4 linked regions of the Sus scrofa genome follow. The main gene of each other region encodes a partner of the protein of the gene in region 2 in a complex. Links are inferred from orthologs where the notes say so. Each region holds a gene or a part of one and is shown on either strand. Other genes may lie near its edges.

The links. Proteins that work in one complex are often made in the same cells at the same time.
Region 1: MED16 (region 2) and MED20 share a complex: the UniProt entries of both Homo sapiens proteins name them as parts of the mediator complex. The link is inferred for Sus scrofa from reciprocal best matches to the Homo sapiens genes MED16 and MED20.
Region 3: MED16 (region 2) and MED12 share a complex: the UniProt entries of both Homo sapiens proteins name them as parts of the mediator complex. The link is inferred for Sus scrofa from reciprocal best matches to the Homo sapiens genes MED16 and MED12.
Region 4: MED16 (region 2) and MED13L share a complex: the UniProt entries of both Homo sapiens proteins name them as parts of the mediator complex. The link is inferred for Sus scrofa from reciprocal best matches to the Homo sapiens genes MED16 and MED13L.

What each region holds. Positions count from the first base shown.
Region 1 is NC_010449.5:37,071,351-37,075,581, reverse strand, and holds the start of MED20 (mediator of RNA polymerase II transcription subunit 20), read left to right. Parts: upstream 1-1,431; 5' UTR 1,432-1,561; coding exon 1,562-1,575; intron 1,576-4,231. UniProt on the Homo sapiens protein: Component of the Mediator complex, a coactivator involved in the regulated transcription of nearly all RNA polymerase II-dependent genes.
Region 2 is NC_010444.4:77,489,683-77,493,752, reverse strand, and holds the start of MED16 (mediator of RNA polymerase II transcription subunit 16), read right to left. Parts: upstream 2,801-4,070; 5' UTR 2,657-2,800; intron 1,272-2,656; 5' UTR 1,227-1,271; coding exon 1,094-1,226; intron 535-1,093; coding exon 427-534; intron 169-426; coding exon 1-168. UniProt on the Homo sapiens protein: Component of the Mediator complex, a coactivator involved in the regulated transcription of nearly all RNA polymerase II-dependent genes.
Region 3 is NC_010461.5:57,149,399-57,153,683, reverse strand, and holds the start of MED12 (mediator of RNA polymerase II transcription subunit 12), read right to left. Parts: upstream 2,801-4,285; 5' UTR 2,602-2,800; coding exon 2,503-2,601; exon of another isoform or gene 2,442-2,502; intron 1,961-2,441; coding exon 1,856-1,960; intron 1,649-1,855; coding exon 1,457-1,648; intron 1,321-1,456; coding exon 1,161-1,320; intron 481-1,160; coding exon 299-480; intron 110-298; coding exon 1-109. UniProt on the Homo sapiens protein: Component of the Mediator complex, a coactivator involved in the regulated transcription of nearly all RNA polymerase II-dependent genes.
Region 4 is NC_010456.5:36,062,573-36,066,828, reverse strand, and holds the start of MED13L (mediator of RNA polymerase II transcription subunit 13-like), read right to left. Parts: upstream 2,801-4,256; 5' UTR 2,680-2,800; coding exon 2,608-2,679; intron 2,529-2,607; exon of another isoform or gene 1,972-2,528; intron 1,927-1,971; exon of another isoform or gene 1,630-1,926; intron 1-1,629. UniProt on the Homo sapiens protein: Component of the Mediator complex, a coactivator involved in the regulated transcription of nearly all RNA polymerase II-dependent genes.

The sequences.
Region 1 (4,231 bases), on a different chromosome or scaffold from region 2:
GAACCTCCATATGCCACAGGTGCGGTCCTAAAAAGCAAAAAAAAAAAAAAACAAAAAACAGAGACAATAGTGCAACCTTGGGGCAGGTCCAGATTCCTCCTCAAGGAATATACATAGTATCTTTGAGCCCTTCTGCAGAACTATTACTTGATGAAGTATGAAGCATTCTTCAGTGGAAAAAAGGAGGACCACCAGAACCAGTCCTGGGGCCACTAAACAGGAGCGTGAGAAACCGTGCAAGTTTGCCTCGACCCTGGTCCTTAACTGCGGCTCTATTTTCCACTCTTACACTGTAAAACCATCTCCTAATCTCTCTCAAGGGGACCATAGTCTTTAGGGCACTAACCTGCTCTGGCCCTCCTTTGGCAGAGCAATAGAGATATCTTTTTCTTCTTCACCCAAAACCCTGTCTCTGTGCTTCAACTGGGCATCGGAGGACAGAGACAGAGTTTTGGCAACACTACCTGCCTCATATCCTAGCTCCCCTCCTCGCACCGGTTTCCTCCGTGCTACCTGAGATTCTGTCTCCCGGGCCTAGGTCCTAATTTTGCTCCAAATAAAACTTAACTCTCAACTTTTAGGTGAAGGTCTCCAGCCACCCTAAATCCGGCCAGGGCTGGGTCTCCCATTCCATTACCTTTGCTAGAGTGTAATACGCCCCCCTGGGTTTTTTTTTTTTTTTTTAATTCCAAACTATTATCCTGCCGGACACTTTTCAGCCTACCACTACCAACTACCCATCCTCTTTCTCGCACCCACTCTCGCTACTCACCCAGCCGCGTGGTGCGATCTTGAGGTGCCGCCGGCCTGTCCCCGGTCCCATGCTCAGCCTCGAGCTCCTCTTGCTGCTGCCGCGCTTGTTGCAAAATCCGTCGGGTCAGCCGAGGCCCCACGTACTCCTCCTCCTCTTCTCCGGTTCCGCGACCCCGCCGCTTTTCCCGGGTCCCCGCCCGCACCGCATTCCCAGCCAGGATTTGGTCGGCCAGGGGCGCATGCTTTTCCTGACCCTCGGCCCCGCGGGCGGCCTTGAGTTTGGGCATTTCGCTAGAAAACCTCGCCGGGAAGTTTCACATGTGGGGACAGAGGAAAAGCTCTGAGTGCGCCGGCGCAGGGAACTCCCCAGAGGCCAGACGGTGATTACAGCGCCCCCTGGTGTTCGGAGGCCGGACCTGCCACCATCCCCGCCCCACCCCCTGATAGAGCTCCTGAGTCCTGGAGCTGGACTCCCGAATAAACTCATTGCAATTAACATCGCCTTCTCTAAGCAGTGGCAGTCCAAGCCACGCTTTCTTAGCTTCATGAATCTAGGCCCGGGGTGATTTGTCGAATAGGAAGTCCCCGAGCTGCAAGCCTAGGGGGCGGAGCCCTGCAGTGACGTCACTGGAGGCGCCTGTACGCCCCGTTCCTCGTGGCCGCCGAAGGGACTCGCACTTTTTACGTTATTTCCGGAGCACCTCCTACTACCGAAGCTTTCGTTAGGTCGGTGGTTTCACCTCGCGTGGGCTGCAGCAGAGCACTGCGTATCAGCTGTTCAGTACTGTCATCTTCCTGGCCTAACATCATGGGAGTGACTTGGTAGGACTTCAAGGGATTTCGTGGGGCGAAGCTTGGGGTGGTGAAGGGCCGGTGGAGCCTCCAGTGTCCCCGAGAGGAGGATCGGGATCAGGGTCTGAGAGAGATGCCCTCGAGTTGTGTGGGTGAGGGGACCACTGTGAGGGCTGCGAAATCTGCGGGCCTTTTTCCTCGGAGATGCGCCCCTTCTTTCTCAAAGGTGGCAGGTTAAAAATTTTTATCTTAAGAATCCACCAGTGGTCGCGTACCTCCTTCCGTTTTTCTTGGTATATTCTTCCTGCTCGTCATCCCACAGTACTGCCTGGGGTCGGAAATAGTATGTCGGGTTTAGGACCCATCTGCAGTCAAGGTTGGATGGGTTGTGGGGAGGGAGATAGACAACATTGAAGGCAGTATCTTTTTTAGGTTTTTGCCCTTCCCTATGGCCACTAAATGCAGTTAGACCAGCCTGTGTCTAGTTCTAATTTGGCCATTTTAAGATCTCGGGTCTAGAGGGGGAAAAAAAGAAGCTATTGGGAGTTAGGAGATTGGGATGTTAGGCACATCACCTCCTCAGAACCTGTTTCCTACTATGTTTAATTACATGCTTGGTTTAGTTTCTGTGGACTTAATATCTGTAACGTGTTATGAGTCAGAGTGCAGGGAAATATGGGCCTCATGCTCTTGGAGGCATTAGTTCCAAAATGCTAGATTTCAGGGCTTAAAAGAAAAAAAAAAAAAAAGGTATCTGGAGCATCTTTCCAATCAGAGAGGGCTAGAGGCCAGGGTATCAGGAGTCAGTGGCTATAGAGTCTTCATATAAGAAAAGAGCCTGTGGGAATTCTTCCTCCCAGTCACCCAAGTCTTGCACACTTGTCAGTGACTGCACATTTGCTTCCTGCAGTTGACATCATGAGCCTCTTTGGAAGTCTTTTAGTGTAAGGAGGATGTGAAGAATGGAGATGAAAAGTTTCCTCCGCAGAGGCATGGAATCCTGGAAGCCCCTGTTGTTTTTTTCTTTTCTTTTTTAAATTAAAATATAGTTGATTTACAACATTGTGTCAGTTTCTGCTGTGAGGCCCCTGTTGTTGTTTTTGTTTTTGTTTTTGTTTTCTTTTTTCTTTTTTTCTTTTTAGGGCTGTTCCTACAGCTTTTTTTTTTTCTTCTTCTTTTTTTCTTTTTAGGGCCGTTCCTGTGTCACATGGAAGTTCCCAGGCTAGAGGTTGAATCAGAGCTGTGGCTGCCAGCCTGTGCCACAGCAATGCCAGATCCGAGCTGCATCTGCAACCTACACTACAGCTCATGGCACCGCCAGATCCTTAACCCACTGAGCGAGGCTAGGTGATCGAACCCATATCCTCATGGATACTGGTCACATTCTTAACCCGCTGAGCCACGAGCAGAACTCCGAAGCCCCTGTTCCTTCAGTGCAGAAGGCAGACAGAGGGAAAAGGCCCTCTGTTGGGACCCTTCTCGACTTTTCAGATTCCTAGTACTTTGGACCCCAGTTGTATCATCTAAGGGATTCTCTTATTTTTCAAAATAAAGGCCATCATCATTGTGGCTTGTTAGTGCTCTTCCTGATGGAGATTACTGACAATTTGTAGCAACAGCAGGGGTCTGTTTTTATATTTTCCTTTAGTTGATCATAATTGGTCATAAAGTAATGCAGTACCTCCCAAAATTCAGCCACATAATGATTGTCTTTATGATTTTTATATAACTTCATAGCACTTGAACTATTTATTTTTTTTTAATTTTTTTTTTCTTTTTGCCATTTCTTGGGCCGCTCCCGCAGCATATGGAGGTTCCCAGGCTAGGGGTCTAATCAGATCTGTAGCCGCTGGCCTACGCCACAGCTCACGGCAACACAGGATCCTTAACCCACTGAGCAAGGGCAGGGATCGAACCCACAACCTCATGGTTCCTAGTCGGATTCGTTAACCACTGCGCCACGACAGGAACTCCTAATGCTTTCTTTTGATTCTGTTTTTTTCCTTATAAGTATTTTAACAGACAACTGTATCCTTAGGAAAGCATTCTTTTTTTTTTTTTTCCTCTTTCAGCTGCACTCGAGGCATATGGAAGTTCCCAGGCCAGGGACTGAATCTGAGTCACAGCTGTAAGCTGTGCCACAAATGTGGGAATGTCAGTTCCTTAACCCACTGCCCCAGGGCAGTATCAAACCCATGCCGTCACAGAGACAATGCTGATCCTTAACCACAGTGGGAACTTGGAAAGCTTTCGGTGGAGCATTTAAGAGCATGGACACGGAGCCACCTCACTTGACTACACTGCATTAAGCAGTATGACCTTGTGCCAGTTACTCAACCTCTCTGTTCAGTAGTTTTCTCATTTGTAATGAAGAAATGATTATGCTGTGTCTTATAGGGCTGATGCAAGTTAATTCATCTAAAGGCTTTGGGCACTGCCTGGCTCATAGTTGGTGCTTGGTAATTATTACCTACCACTTAAAGTAGAAGCCAGTTGCACTCTCCATAGAAGGAAATCTTGGAAATAACTTTTTATCTCATTGTTTTGGCTAAATTCTTGTTGCCTCTCACTCTCAAAGATTAGAAACTTGAGGCTTGCTTTCTCTTTGATCCAAGGATCCTTAGAACTTTCTTCATTGATGAAAATGTTCTATGTCACTGTCCGGTACACCAGTTCCTAGCCACTT
Region 2 (4,070 bases):
TTTCCACGTGCAGGGCCAGCTTCACACCATTGTGCAGCCAGGACAAGGCCACGATGGGGTCCCCCTCCACCAGGCTGCCCACTGGGCTCTCCCAGCTGTTGGCCAGGTGGTCTGCCATGGTCCAGCACTTGATCTGCCCATCAGCATCGGCCGACAGCAGCCGGGAGCCTGCAGGGGAAGAGGGGGGCAAGCCTGTGTCACAAAGCACCCCCCCCAGTACATCTGGGGCCTGGGATGGGAGACAAGCAGGGGCATGGCACACATGTCTCCCAGGAACGACTCTGGTCACCAAAAATGGGAGGAGAAGGAGCCGAAAAGCCACAAGGCCAGGGCTTTCATCCTAGTTCTGGACAGTGGGGACATGACCAGGAAAAGACAGAACAAGTAAGCTTGGGATTTGAGATCAAGGGTGAGCCCCACCCTCACCTGACTGGTCCCACTCGAGGCAGGTGATGGCCTCGCTGTGCTCCGAGTTGATGGAGTGCACGTCCCAGGGGTGCTCCGTATCCAGGATGTGGATCATGCGGGTCAGGTCTGCAAAGGAGGGCCAGGTCAGCGGCAACAATGGCAGGGCCTCGAGTGCCTGATGACCCCAGGGGTAATGGGAGCAGGTCCATGACTCTGCCTCCAGAGAGGCTACAACCACTTTCAAAAGAGACATAGAAAATGGAACTGGAAAAAAACAAACCCAAAATGCTAACAGAGAGTGGCTCTCTGGGGAAGGTAATGCCTTTTTTTCTTCCCCTCATCCAAAATGTCTGTGTTTTTCTCCTTTCCTCTAGGAGCATGTGTCATTCAACAATAGCGAGAACACAGGCCCAGCAGGCAGGCTGCAGCTCAGAGGCTTTCAGAAGCCAAGCAGTGACATATAAGGTCTGGAAAACTCAGGCAGGAGCCTCAGCAGGGGCTGGGGACCACCCTCATCTGGACAGGTCCATCCCCTGGGGGTGATTCCAGTGCCCCCTGGTGCCAGGTGCCCTCTGGGCCCTCACCACCCCTCATCACACATGAGGGAACCCTGAGAGACTGGACAGGCCTGGAGGTCCATGGGCACTGGGGCACGAGCCCATGCGGGGGGCAGGAGGGGGCGCACCCTGGTCGTCGTTTCGGAGATCCGTGGTAAAGGCGATGAGGTTGCGGCAGGACCAGGCACAGGCCAGGGGCACCGAAGGGCAGTGCGTGCTCTTGGGCCATTTCTCCCACTCACAGACGTACGCCAGGTCCATGGTGCCCGGCTGCCAAGGTCATACACAGAGGGCGGTCACCAGCTTCTGAGGGAGGGAGGACCAGTTTGTCACAGACGTTCATGCAGGGCCTCAGGGCCCAGAGCGCAGTGCTGGATGGTGGGTCACTGCAGGGACCCAAAGACTCAATCCCTGCTCTGTGTATGTCAGGGGAGCTATATCTGACACATGGATGGCCAGGGAGGCCTCCCAGCGTAGAAGTGAGGGATCCAGGAATGCAGCCTGGAGGAAGGATATCCCAGGCAGGGGGAACAGCCAGTGCAAAGGCCCAGAAGCTGGACCAAGCCCAGGGTCATCAAGGAGCGGCAGGGGGCCCATGTTGCTGGAACTGAGTGAGAGGAAGGGAGGGGTAAAGTGAGGGTGGGGTGGGTCATGCAGGGCCTGCGCTTTCACCCTGAGTGAGGTGGGAGCCCCAGGGGAGCTGAGACCTTCTTATGTTTCACACACCCCTCTGGCTGTCTGGAGAGAAAGGCTTAGGGACAGGGTGGGGGTGACCATGCCAGTCCAGGTGAACAATGATGGGGACCATGAAGCAGTGAGGAGAGGTGGGACTGCTCTATCCTTAGAGAAGCCTTTGGCAGAGGCAAGGAGGCAGGATGGGGGGCAGGCAGCAGCTTGGTGCAGCACTTCAAAGGTAACAACCGCAACGGAAACAATGAACATTTCCACCTGCTGTCTATGTGCCGGGCATTGATTACGGTTATTTTCACCGTTACCAGAACCCAATGAGACTGTATGACCAACCCATCTTTCTCAATCACTTCCCCCAGGCCTCCCGCTTCCTCAAGCCTTGGCCAGGAACCCCAAGGCCCTGCCCAGAGGCCCCTTCAGCAGTCTTTAAGCTCTGCCCTCAAAGCTCTCCAGCCCCGCCCCCTACAATATTTGCTTTCCAGACCCCAGTCCCAATTTGCCCCTTGTGTTCCCAGGGATAGCTTAAATTTGTTCTCTCCCCAGGGTCTCCCAAACAACTCGCCTCCCTATAACCACCTCCAAATTCCCAACCCTCCAAGTCCCGCCTCTTTTTGCCACTTCAGGCTCCACCCCAGGGACCACTACCCAATAGCCAGGTGCTGGTCTCCAGTGGCCGCCTTCCAGCCCACCAGAATCCCCAGGCCCCTCCCCAGGAAAATACAGCCTTAGACCTCCCAACCCCTGATCAGGTTCCAGGCCCAGCCCCGATTTTCCCCAGCTCGGAGTGCCCGGATTCCCAGACGCCTCAGACTTTCCCCCAAGTTTCCGTCGCGACCCCCCCCCCCCGCCCAACGTGCTCCCGGGCGCGTACCCAGCACCCCTTGCTCTCCAGGCCCGCCCTCTAACCCTACAGGCCCCGCCCCCGGCCCGCTAGTCGCCGCCGCGGCCGTAGGCACCGTCCTGAGGCCGGCCCAACGCCCAAGTCCCCAGTCCCCGCTCACCGGGACGGCCTGTTCTCCCAGCCGAGCGGACGGCCACGGCCTGCACTCCACCTATCGGCGCGGCTACGGCACCGCCATCTTCCCCGGATCAACGAGTCGCCCACGTAGCGCGGCCGTTTCCCGGAGACTTCTGGGACAGCAGCGGCTCCGGCCCCGCCCCACTACCGATATAATTTGCATACATACATTGATAGTTTCCCAACAGCCACCCGAATTATATTTCGTGAAAGAACACTTTCTCAACTTCAGTGAGTAGCCTCATTCTGTTAAGCTATTGTTGCACTGATATCAGAAAAGAAGAGACAAGTTACTGAGTATTTTTCTTCTAAACGGAATTCACCCTTAGCGTAAAGTATTTTATACTCCGCCCTATAAATAGCGGTCGGGTTAACCCCGGTGTCGTGCTCGCTTCGGCAGCACATATACTAAAATTGGAACGATACAGAGAAGATTAGCATGGCCCCTGCGCAAGGATGACACGCAAATTCGTGAAGCGTTCCATATTTTGCTTTTCCTTGCTTCTTTTCCCCGTAAGCAAGACGGCTTAACCAGTCGTGGGCTTCTCTGGATTCACTCGTCTCCCGCTATCAAAAGCTGGTTCTTTTTCTGTCGGGCTCTCCCCAGTTGGGAAAGTCTTTTCTAGGAAGACCTCCTGATATTTCGGGGAAGGTGTACTGGGCTGCAGTTAGCGCCTGGGCAAAGGTATGGGGGCCGGGCTCAGGGAATCGGAGTGGGAAGAAAACAGCCAGCTAGGGGCAGCCGCAGGACCGAGTCTGTGTGTCAGTGCAGGAGGCCTGTGGAGTCCCCTAGAGCCACCACACCCGCGCCCTGAAGTCCAGACTGGCCTCCAGGCACCAGAAATTCGGTCCCCTTCACAGGTGGGAGCCTCCAAGCTGGTTAATCCAGTATCTCCTGATGTCCTCTGAGCCATTTGGATTTCCATTATTTAGCATCTGTGTTTAAAACTTTTTAAAATGCCTGTTAAAATGGAACTCAGCACACTTAGCACCCAGTTCTTGGTTTCTAAACGTTGCCCCAGTGAAAGGAACTGGGCTCCTGGGCGAAATGCCTGGTTCTAGAAGGCAGCACAAATATGCAGAGGAGCCCGGTGCTCAAATAAATAAATACCCCGCCTCAGTGAGACAGGAATCACTGAAAGAGCTCCCAGTATCCAAACCTGGAACAATCTGAGCAACAAAATGAAAGGATATTGTGTTGTAACCCAAACAAGAAAGCGAATGTCCAGGCGTCTGTACTGATATAAACAGTTAAATAAATAAATACACAGGGGGAAAGAGACAAATGTCACCTGCAGGATTCCCAGTAATTGAGGCAGATAATCCATCTTCAGGGAAATGGAGATCAGGGTGAGGTTCAACAGTGAGGAGCCCTGTGGACAGCAGGGACCCCTGAT
Region 3 (4,285 bases), on a different chromosome or scaffold from region 2:
GAAGCAGCAGGGGCAGCAGCAGTTTAAGCAATTCATCCTCTCCAGGGCGGATTTTCTCAAAGCACTCAAGTACCCAGGTCAGGAACTCATGTCTGTCCAGCATTCCGTCCTGTGGGCACCAGGGGTGGGAAGAGGATTAGCTTTGCCTAGGGACTATTCAAGATGAGGCAGAGAAAGTAAATGAAAGGATGAAGAGAACCACACAAGTGGGGCAAGGTGGCAGGCCGATTCTGTTCTATGCTGGCAGAGTGTGAGATCAGGCTCAATCCCACGCCCTATAACAAGCTCTCCTTCCTACCTGAAACATGAACATGGCCAGCTTCTCGTTGTAGTCCCACTGCCAGATCGCCACCTCTACATCATGGGGCAAGGGCCCTACAGTGGGACCACAGCCCCCACTTCCGGCAGGCCCTGGCCGGTAGTATTCAGCCATCTTTTGCAGCTGCTCCCATAAGTACTTGGTGATGATCTGAGTCCACTCTAGGGGAAAGATGGGAAAACGGCTATTTTATACTGTCCCTCTGCTTAGAACATCTTGTCCCCTGCTCCCGTCCACAGTCACCATACTTCTAAATCCTATTCAGCCCCTTAGGCTCTAGTCAAATGCCACCTTCCTAAAGCCTTTCCAGGTGTCTCCAAAAGAAAGTAATCTTTCTGTTCACTGAGTCTCAAAGAAACCTTCTGCCTCCATTTTTTATGTTTATTTTATTAACTTACATATTTTTATTTATTAATTAATTTACATATTTTTAAAAATTTTGGCTGTGCTCGCAGCATGCAGACGTTTCCCGGCCAGGGATGGAACCTGTGCCATGGCAGTGACAATGCTGGATCCTTAACCTGCTGCACCACTAGGGAACTCCTTGCCTCCACTTTTGACATTATGTTCTATATTTAATCACGGGATCTGTACATATGCCTTGGCATCCCTACTAGACTCTAAGCATCCTAAAGGCAGGGATTAAGTAGTGGTTATCTTTATAGCCCAGTACATGCACGGAGAAGGTACTCAAGATACTCGATGTTTACTAATGGAGTGAATGCAAGATACAAGCAGAAGCAAGGAATATAGATGAGGAAGGAGAATAATCTCAAGGGTCTCTCTACCACTGCTTGAAGTGATCAGTGGTGGGACCCCTGGTGTTAGAGGACTTACTCACCCGTGAAGGGGTCAACGACATTTCTCTTCTTAACCTTGTTCTCCGAGATTGCTGCATAGTAGGCACAGGTCATCTTAATGAGCCAGGCTGCCCGCATCACAGGCACTGTGTATTTGGCTAAGTACCCAAACACTTCTTCCTTCTTACTGAAAATGGGGACCTGGACGGACATCACAAATAGTGAGACCTCCATTACCCCCATGAGCTGGCATTCATGTAGCTTAATCTGGGAATCGGAGGGTGCTTGGTACCCACACTCCACTCCCTGGCTTGAAGAACAAGAAATGGTATCTCACCTTTTTGGCTAGTTGTGTGAGTGGCTTGGTGCCAGCCAGGTCAGTGAACCAGGTGTTAATGGCACTCTGGGATCGTGCAGTCACCAGCCAGAAGTTGTCCTTCTGGTTCACTTGGGGCTTCCTGCGACCAGTGTCAGGGAGGGTGTTACAACGTAACTTCTCTGCAATAATGCTGCTGAAGTTGGAACTGATCTGAGGGAAGAAAACTACACCTCAGGGTGGGAAGAAGGGGTAGAGAGGTGGTTGTGCCTTTGATAGGCAAATGCCAATGTGGTAGCATGAGGTTATGAAGGAAAACTCAGCCATTTAGGTGGTCCCTTTAAGTCTTCCCAACCCAGGGCCTTTGCGCCTTCTCAAATTCTTCCAGCCTTTTCCTTCAGCTTGGCAGGGTTGTCTCACCTTGGCAGGATTGAAGTTGACGTTCTTGGCACTGCCATGTTCATCCCCAGAGACAGCGGGCTGGTTATTGAAACCTTGTTTTACATTCAAGGCTGTCAGTTCATCCTAAAGCGGGAAAACGACATGTTAGCCCCCGCCACGGGGGGGGGGGGGAAGGTTGGTGGTGGGAGAGGGCAGAAGAGAAGGGAACATGGGGAGGGGGGAAGGGAGGAGGAGGATTCGGAGTAGAACAGATTGTTATTTAAAGCTAGGCCCTAACATTCATTTGGACCCCACCCTCACCCCCACAGTCACTAAGATTCCCAATCCCCCAGAGCTCACTCAACAGCACTCTTCCCCTGCGAGCTTGGAAGCAGAGCAGCCGTTGCTCACCCAGCTGCCTCAGACAACTTTCTGAGGTGTGTGTGTGTAGAGGGGGGCGCCTCCAGCGTGGCCCCGATATCACTCCCAGCTGGCACCCAGGAACCACCCCCCACCCCCACCAGATCCTACTCTCCTACGCCAGCCCACTTTACTCTTCCCCCTTTCGGGACTTTCGCTCCCGGCGAACCGCCCCGCCCCCCCCCCCCCCCGCCAAGCTTTCAGTGCTTCCTCTTCTGCCGATCGCTGGCCCCCGGCCCCTGGGGAGCCCGGATTTTTGAACGTACCTCCTTCTGTTTGGGATCTTGAGGGTACACATCCGGAGGCCCCAGCCGCGGCCGCTTCAGGGGCCGGTGTTCGTAGCTCAAGATCCCGAAGGCCGCCATCTTGCCCAGCCCGTAGCGCCAGAGGCGCCAGCCGGGCCCGGCCGCTGGGGGAGGGGGAGAGGGAGCCGAAAAGGGGGGCAGCGGAGGCGAGGACGGCAGCCGAGAGACAACAAGGGGGCACGTTAGAAACTCTCGATCATTGCCGGAAACTACCGAGGTAAACCGAGGGACGCCGGGAACCGTCGGACAATACCGACCGCGGGGTAGGGGGGGGAACGGGGGCGGGGCCCACCCGGCGTGGGGCGGAGCTCGGCGCCGGGGGAGCTTTTTCTGCCCCGGCGGCCGCAGATCGACTTCACTCAGTCAAGATCTTTGCGACATTCGCTAACCCTGTGCTGGACTGGGGATGCGAACCCGCGAGGCGGGAGGCGGCCACCGCACCGAGCTCCGGTTAGAATTGCGTTCCCAGCACCTCCCTCCGTTCCCGGCCTAGAATAAATAAGTGCTTGATCGTCTGTGCGTTTGTTGGGAACTCTGCCTTTTCCAAACTGCTTCTTCATTTCTCAGGTTCCGCATCTGAAAAATGGGTGTACTAACAAACACTTCCTTCAAGGGACTGTTGTGAAGATTAGAAACGATGTATGCATAAGGAAACACATATTAACCCCCCCCCCCCCCACACACACACAAAGGTCGGCTCTAATCCCTCAAGGTCCCTATGGTCTAGCACTGAGGTTCTTAACCTCTTCTGATTCAAAGTCCCTTTAAAATGCGGTGGAAGCTACGGCCCTTCTTCCCAGAAAAAAAAAAAAAAAAAAAAAGCACGTAGAGATATACAAAACGTTAGACACTTTCCACGGAGATTCTTACACACACACCCCTCCACGAAGTTCATCCATATATACTCCGAAGATTCAGGAACTCCAGGTTAAGAACGCTTGCTCTATAGAAAGAGGCACCTATTAAGTATCAGATGCTTTTCAGACATTATCTCTTTTAATCCACAAAAGCCCCATGTGTTAGGGATTATTATTGTCTCCATTTTGTAGATGAGGAAGCTGATTCTCAAGGAGTGGGAGTTGGTTTATATAGCTACTGAATAACAGAGCTGAGACTAGGGTTTTTTTCCTTGACTCTTCTTTAAGTGGTATATCATATCATTGGCTATTCTATTTTTTTACCTGCTTTTTAATTTAATTTTATTTGCTTTTTGTAGGGCCGCACCTTCAGCATATGGAGGTTCCCAGACTAAGGGTCAAATCCGAGCTGCAGCTGCCTGCCACAGCCACAGCCACTGCAACAGGATCCTTAACCCACTAAGTGAGGCCCGGGATGGAACCCGAATCCTCATGGATACTAGTATGTCAGGTTTATAACCCACTAAGAACTCCCCCTGCTTTTTTAAATTGAAGTATATTTGGTGTACAATATTGCATAAGTTACGGGTGCACAGTATAGTGGTTCGTATTTTCTAAAGGTTATACTCCATTCATAATTATAAAATATTGGCTACATTCCTCATGTTATACAATATATCTTTTTAGCTCATTTTATACGTGATAGTTTGTATCTTATAGTCTCCTACACCTAAACTGTCCTTCCCCCTTCTCGCTTCTCCCAGTGTAACCCCTAGTTGGTTCTTTGTATCTGTGAATCTGCTTTTTTGTTACATTCACTAGTTTGTTGCATTTTTCAGGTTCCACATATGAGTGATATCATACTTTTTTTTTTTTTTTTTGTCTTT
Region 4 (4,256 bases), on a different chromosome or scaffold from region 2:
GAAAAATGTATGCTATTATTATGCACCACAAGTTCTTATAATACATGCTTTATTTTGAGCAGGTGATGATTTTATCTCCTTTGGAATGAACAATTCCAAACAATGTACTTTAGGCAAAATATTTTTGATATTCTAGGTTGCTGCTATATCTAATTTTCAAGAAAATTCTCAATTTGCAATGAGTAAAATTTATAATTATCAACAGCTCTGAATCCTAAATTTTTTTAATTTGTACCTATCCACTTTCTACATACAATAGAATGTAGACATTCTACAGTCCTTTAAAAAAAAAAAAAAATCAACCCAAACAACGCTGCAGTTCTGCATTTCAAAGTTGCTACCTAAAGAGTAATTGTTTTTTTTTTAAAAAAAAAGTATATTCAAAAATCAATTCCTGGTTTAAAAAGGTTAGAAAATCTAAAGCATAAACCTTCAGTCAGTCATAAAGCACAGCAAAGCATACAAATTGCCTCTCCAAAAGAATCTTAAGCATCTTATCTCTATAACATTATCATTCTTACTTAAGCTTTAAAAAAAAAAAAAAAGATAAAAAAATGATATCTCCAAAAGACAGGCTACACATGTACTTTGACTTGTCTACAAAACGTACTGTATATAAATTAGCCACATACATACAAGCCGTTGCTAGTCAGCATGATATATGGTAATTTGGAATCTCTCCTCACTAATACTGGTCTACTCGGTTATTTTAATTCCCTGTTAAAGTGTCAAAGTGGTCACCAGCCGCCAAACAAAAACCATTTAAATACCCCTTAATCAATACGTTTGCTAATCTATGGAAGTCCCTGCATCTGACTAATACTAAATGACAGACTGAGAGGAGCAAAGCAGCAGCAAAATGAGTTTTAGTTCCACATAGCAAAAGATCAAGGGAAAATTTTCACAGTATAAAGAAGACTCGCAACTTATCATTGATTTTTAAGATTAAATATCTAAATAAAAATGTTGAAAAAACTGACTTGACCTTATTACAGTGAAAGCAAAGATACTATGTCATTGGGTCTTTGCAGGTAAAAATCACGTTTTGATTTTTTTTATCTGCATAATGAAATTTATTTAAAAAAATAAAGCTTCCATTTGAAAAGTTGGCAAGAATCTGTATTTCTCCACTAGTCTCAAAGAAAAAAAAAAAGCATCTATGCTACCCATAATTAAATGCAACTAATTACAATTTGAACACTAAATTATTTATCCAGTGTAAACAAGGATTAAGAGAAAATAATGCTCCTATCTACAGCAGGGGTTACAGAAAACAATTTCAAAAATGCAAGCTCTCCAAAGGCAGTCCCCCCCAAAAAGGATACAAAACTTAAAATAAGTTGGGGTTTTCTTTTTTTAAGGCTAAATTAAACAAACCGTTCAGCCAATTTTCCAATTATATTCTACGCCTGAAACATAATTGCCTTACATCTGTTTACAAATCTTTGCTCAATATTTAAACAAATTCGTAGTCTCCCGGGCACATAGCTATATATACAGTAACCCATGCACAAAGCACATATTTAAAGACCACGCACTGCAATTATTAGCCTAAACGCCAGGTTTAACAACGTGAATGTTTTCAGAGCTAGGTAATACGACCCAATAAAAAGCAAAGATGGCATTTACCACCAAATGTCACTGCCACCGCCAGGAAAGAGTTGCTGGAGCCCTATACATTTTTAATTTCGCTGAATCTAGACGCCGTCGTCGGGTGCCAGGCTTCCAGGAGAACAATTGACACCCTAACTGCTTCAAGATTAAGGCAGGCGATTCAAATCCGAAGGAAAAGTTGTCAATTATCAGAGAGAGAGCGCGAGGGAGATGAAGGCAGATAAAAGCGATGTTATCAAACCGCCCAGCTTGTTGCTGCTGCTGCTGTGTGTGTGTGTATGTGTGTGTGTGTTAGGAGAGAGAAAACAGTTTTTTAAAAAACACAGGAGGAGAGAAAAAAGAAAAAGCTTTCTCCACCTTCCGTCGGCTCGGTGCAATGGCTTTACGGCTCTCCAGCGTAGTAAGCCCCAAGAGGCAGGCGGCTGTCGATGTTTACAATCGCGGGAGCTTCGGGTGCAAGAGTCCTTTACTGACACAATCGCATTCAATCAACTGTTTTCGGGCGAAATTGCAGGTGTCATTATGGAATTTTTTAAAAATTCAAAAGGCGGGCGGGCGGGCAGCCCATCCGACAAGGGGGGAAAAAGGCTGCTTATCGCAGGCGCGGGCAGCACAAGGCAAAGCTTTCCACATTTAGGAAAAAAAGGGGGGGAAGGGGAGGGGAAGGGGAGTGCGATGGCAACAGAGGGTGGGCGTTCGAAGTGCGACCCAGAATCCGCAGCTTTGAGACTTCTACATGCAAATTCCACGCCGAGCGCCGCGCTCACAAATGATTTTTAAAGAGCCAAATAAACACTGGATGGGATCCAAGGCGAGGGAGAGACGATCCAAAAGGGGGAGAATCAGCGAGAGGCGAACGGCGGGGAGAGGCGAGGGAGGGGCGAAGTCCCGGCGGCGGGAGGAGAAAGTTGGTCTGCGGCGGAGGTCGGCGGCGGAGGTCGGGGACCCCCCCCCACCCCGGCATAGCCCCCTCCCTGCAGCCCGGCTACTCACCAGCGAGAAGAGGTTGGAGTGACAATCCTCCAGGCTCGCCCCGTTCGCCACCCAGTTCGCTGCCGCAGTCATGATCCTCCGCGAGCCCGGCCGCCAGAGCGGGGCATGTCGGAGCGAGGCGTCCGAGGCGAGGCCGGGCCGGGCGGCAGCGCCTCGCCGGAGAGCGCGGGGCAGCCGGGCCGCCGCCGCCGCCGGGGGAGGGCGGGAGGGCCGCCGGGCGGGTGGGAGGCGCCGCGGCGACGCCGCGCCGGGGGCGGCGGGCCCGGGCCGGCGGGGGGGTCCGCGGCGGCCGCGCGGCTCCTTCCTGCTCCCGCGGCGGCGGCGGCGGCTCCGGCGGCGGCGGGGGGCGCTGTCCGCGCGGCCGGGCGCCCTCCCCGCCTCTCAGGGCCGCCGCTGCCTCCCGGGCCGGCGCTGCGGGCCGGCCGCCGCCTCCGCCTTCCCTGTTCCTCAGCCGCCGCCGCCGCCGCCGCCTTGTTTATCTCCAGCCACCGACTCCCCCTCGGCCCCCGCCGGCGCGTGAGAGGAGGCGAGCCCCGGAGCCGCCGCCGCCGCCTCGGAGCCGCCGCAGCCGCGGAGCGCGAACTCGCGAAGGGGGGGTGCGGACGAAGCCAGCGGGCGACCCCGGCAGCCGAGCGACGTCCCCTCCTTCCTCTTCCTCCCCCACCCCCCCCTCCTCCTCCCCAGTCAGCCTCGCTTCTCCTCCCTCCCCGGGCTCTCTCACTCTGACAGCAATGGCGGCCGCCGACCGCGGCTCGGCCCGCCATTGGCTAGCGCCCTATCACGTGACGGGCGCCGGCCGCGCGGGGAGGGGGGACGGGGGAGGGGCCCTGAGCGGCGGCGGCGGCGGCGGGGCTCGCGGGCGGCGCTGCTGAGCCGAGTGCGATCGGATTCTCCGGCCGGGAGAAGAAGGAAGACGGGGAGGGAGAGAAAGAAGTGCGGGCGGCGCGGCTGCCGGGCTGGCAGCGGCCGGGCGAGCGGCCTCAGGCTGCTGTGCGCTGCCCCGCTTGGGCGCCGCGCCCCGCCCCCTCGGGTGCTAGGATCTTTACGCGGCGCTACCTCACCCCCGGAATGCCTGTGGCAGTGGCCGCGGAGAGCTGGGGCCCCTAACCTGTGCCTCTGACGGCCTGGGCGACTGGGTGGTGGGGCTCGCTGTTGGCCAGACAGCATGTCCACGTGTCTCAAGGTTTCACTCTGTCGTCCGTGTTTTGCAAATGAGAAAACTGAAGCACAAAGAGATTAAGTCACTTGCCCACAGCTGGGAAGAGGAGGAGATGGGATTCAAACCCCTGCACCCATGCACAGGGAAGCTAAGCTCTTGCACTAAGGTTTATTACCCTCGCCCAGGAGCGCTTACTGAATACCAGGCACTAAGAAATGCAGAAATGCCTTTTGAACCCTTACTCCTAGGCACTGTGAGCATGCGTTCATTCATTGCATAAATGCTTTCTAATCTCCTGCTTTGTGCCAGAAATTTTTTTTTTTTTTTTTTAACTCCCAGGCACTTTACTAGGGCTGTGTTGGGAGCAGACCTTCCCTCCAGCATTCAATCAGTAACCAACATTTCCAGTATGGGAGTACAGAGGAATGCCACCATAGGGAGGCTCTTTTCCAGCCCTCAAGGCTTGACCTCGATGCAAAGGAGGAGAGAA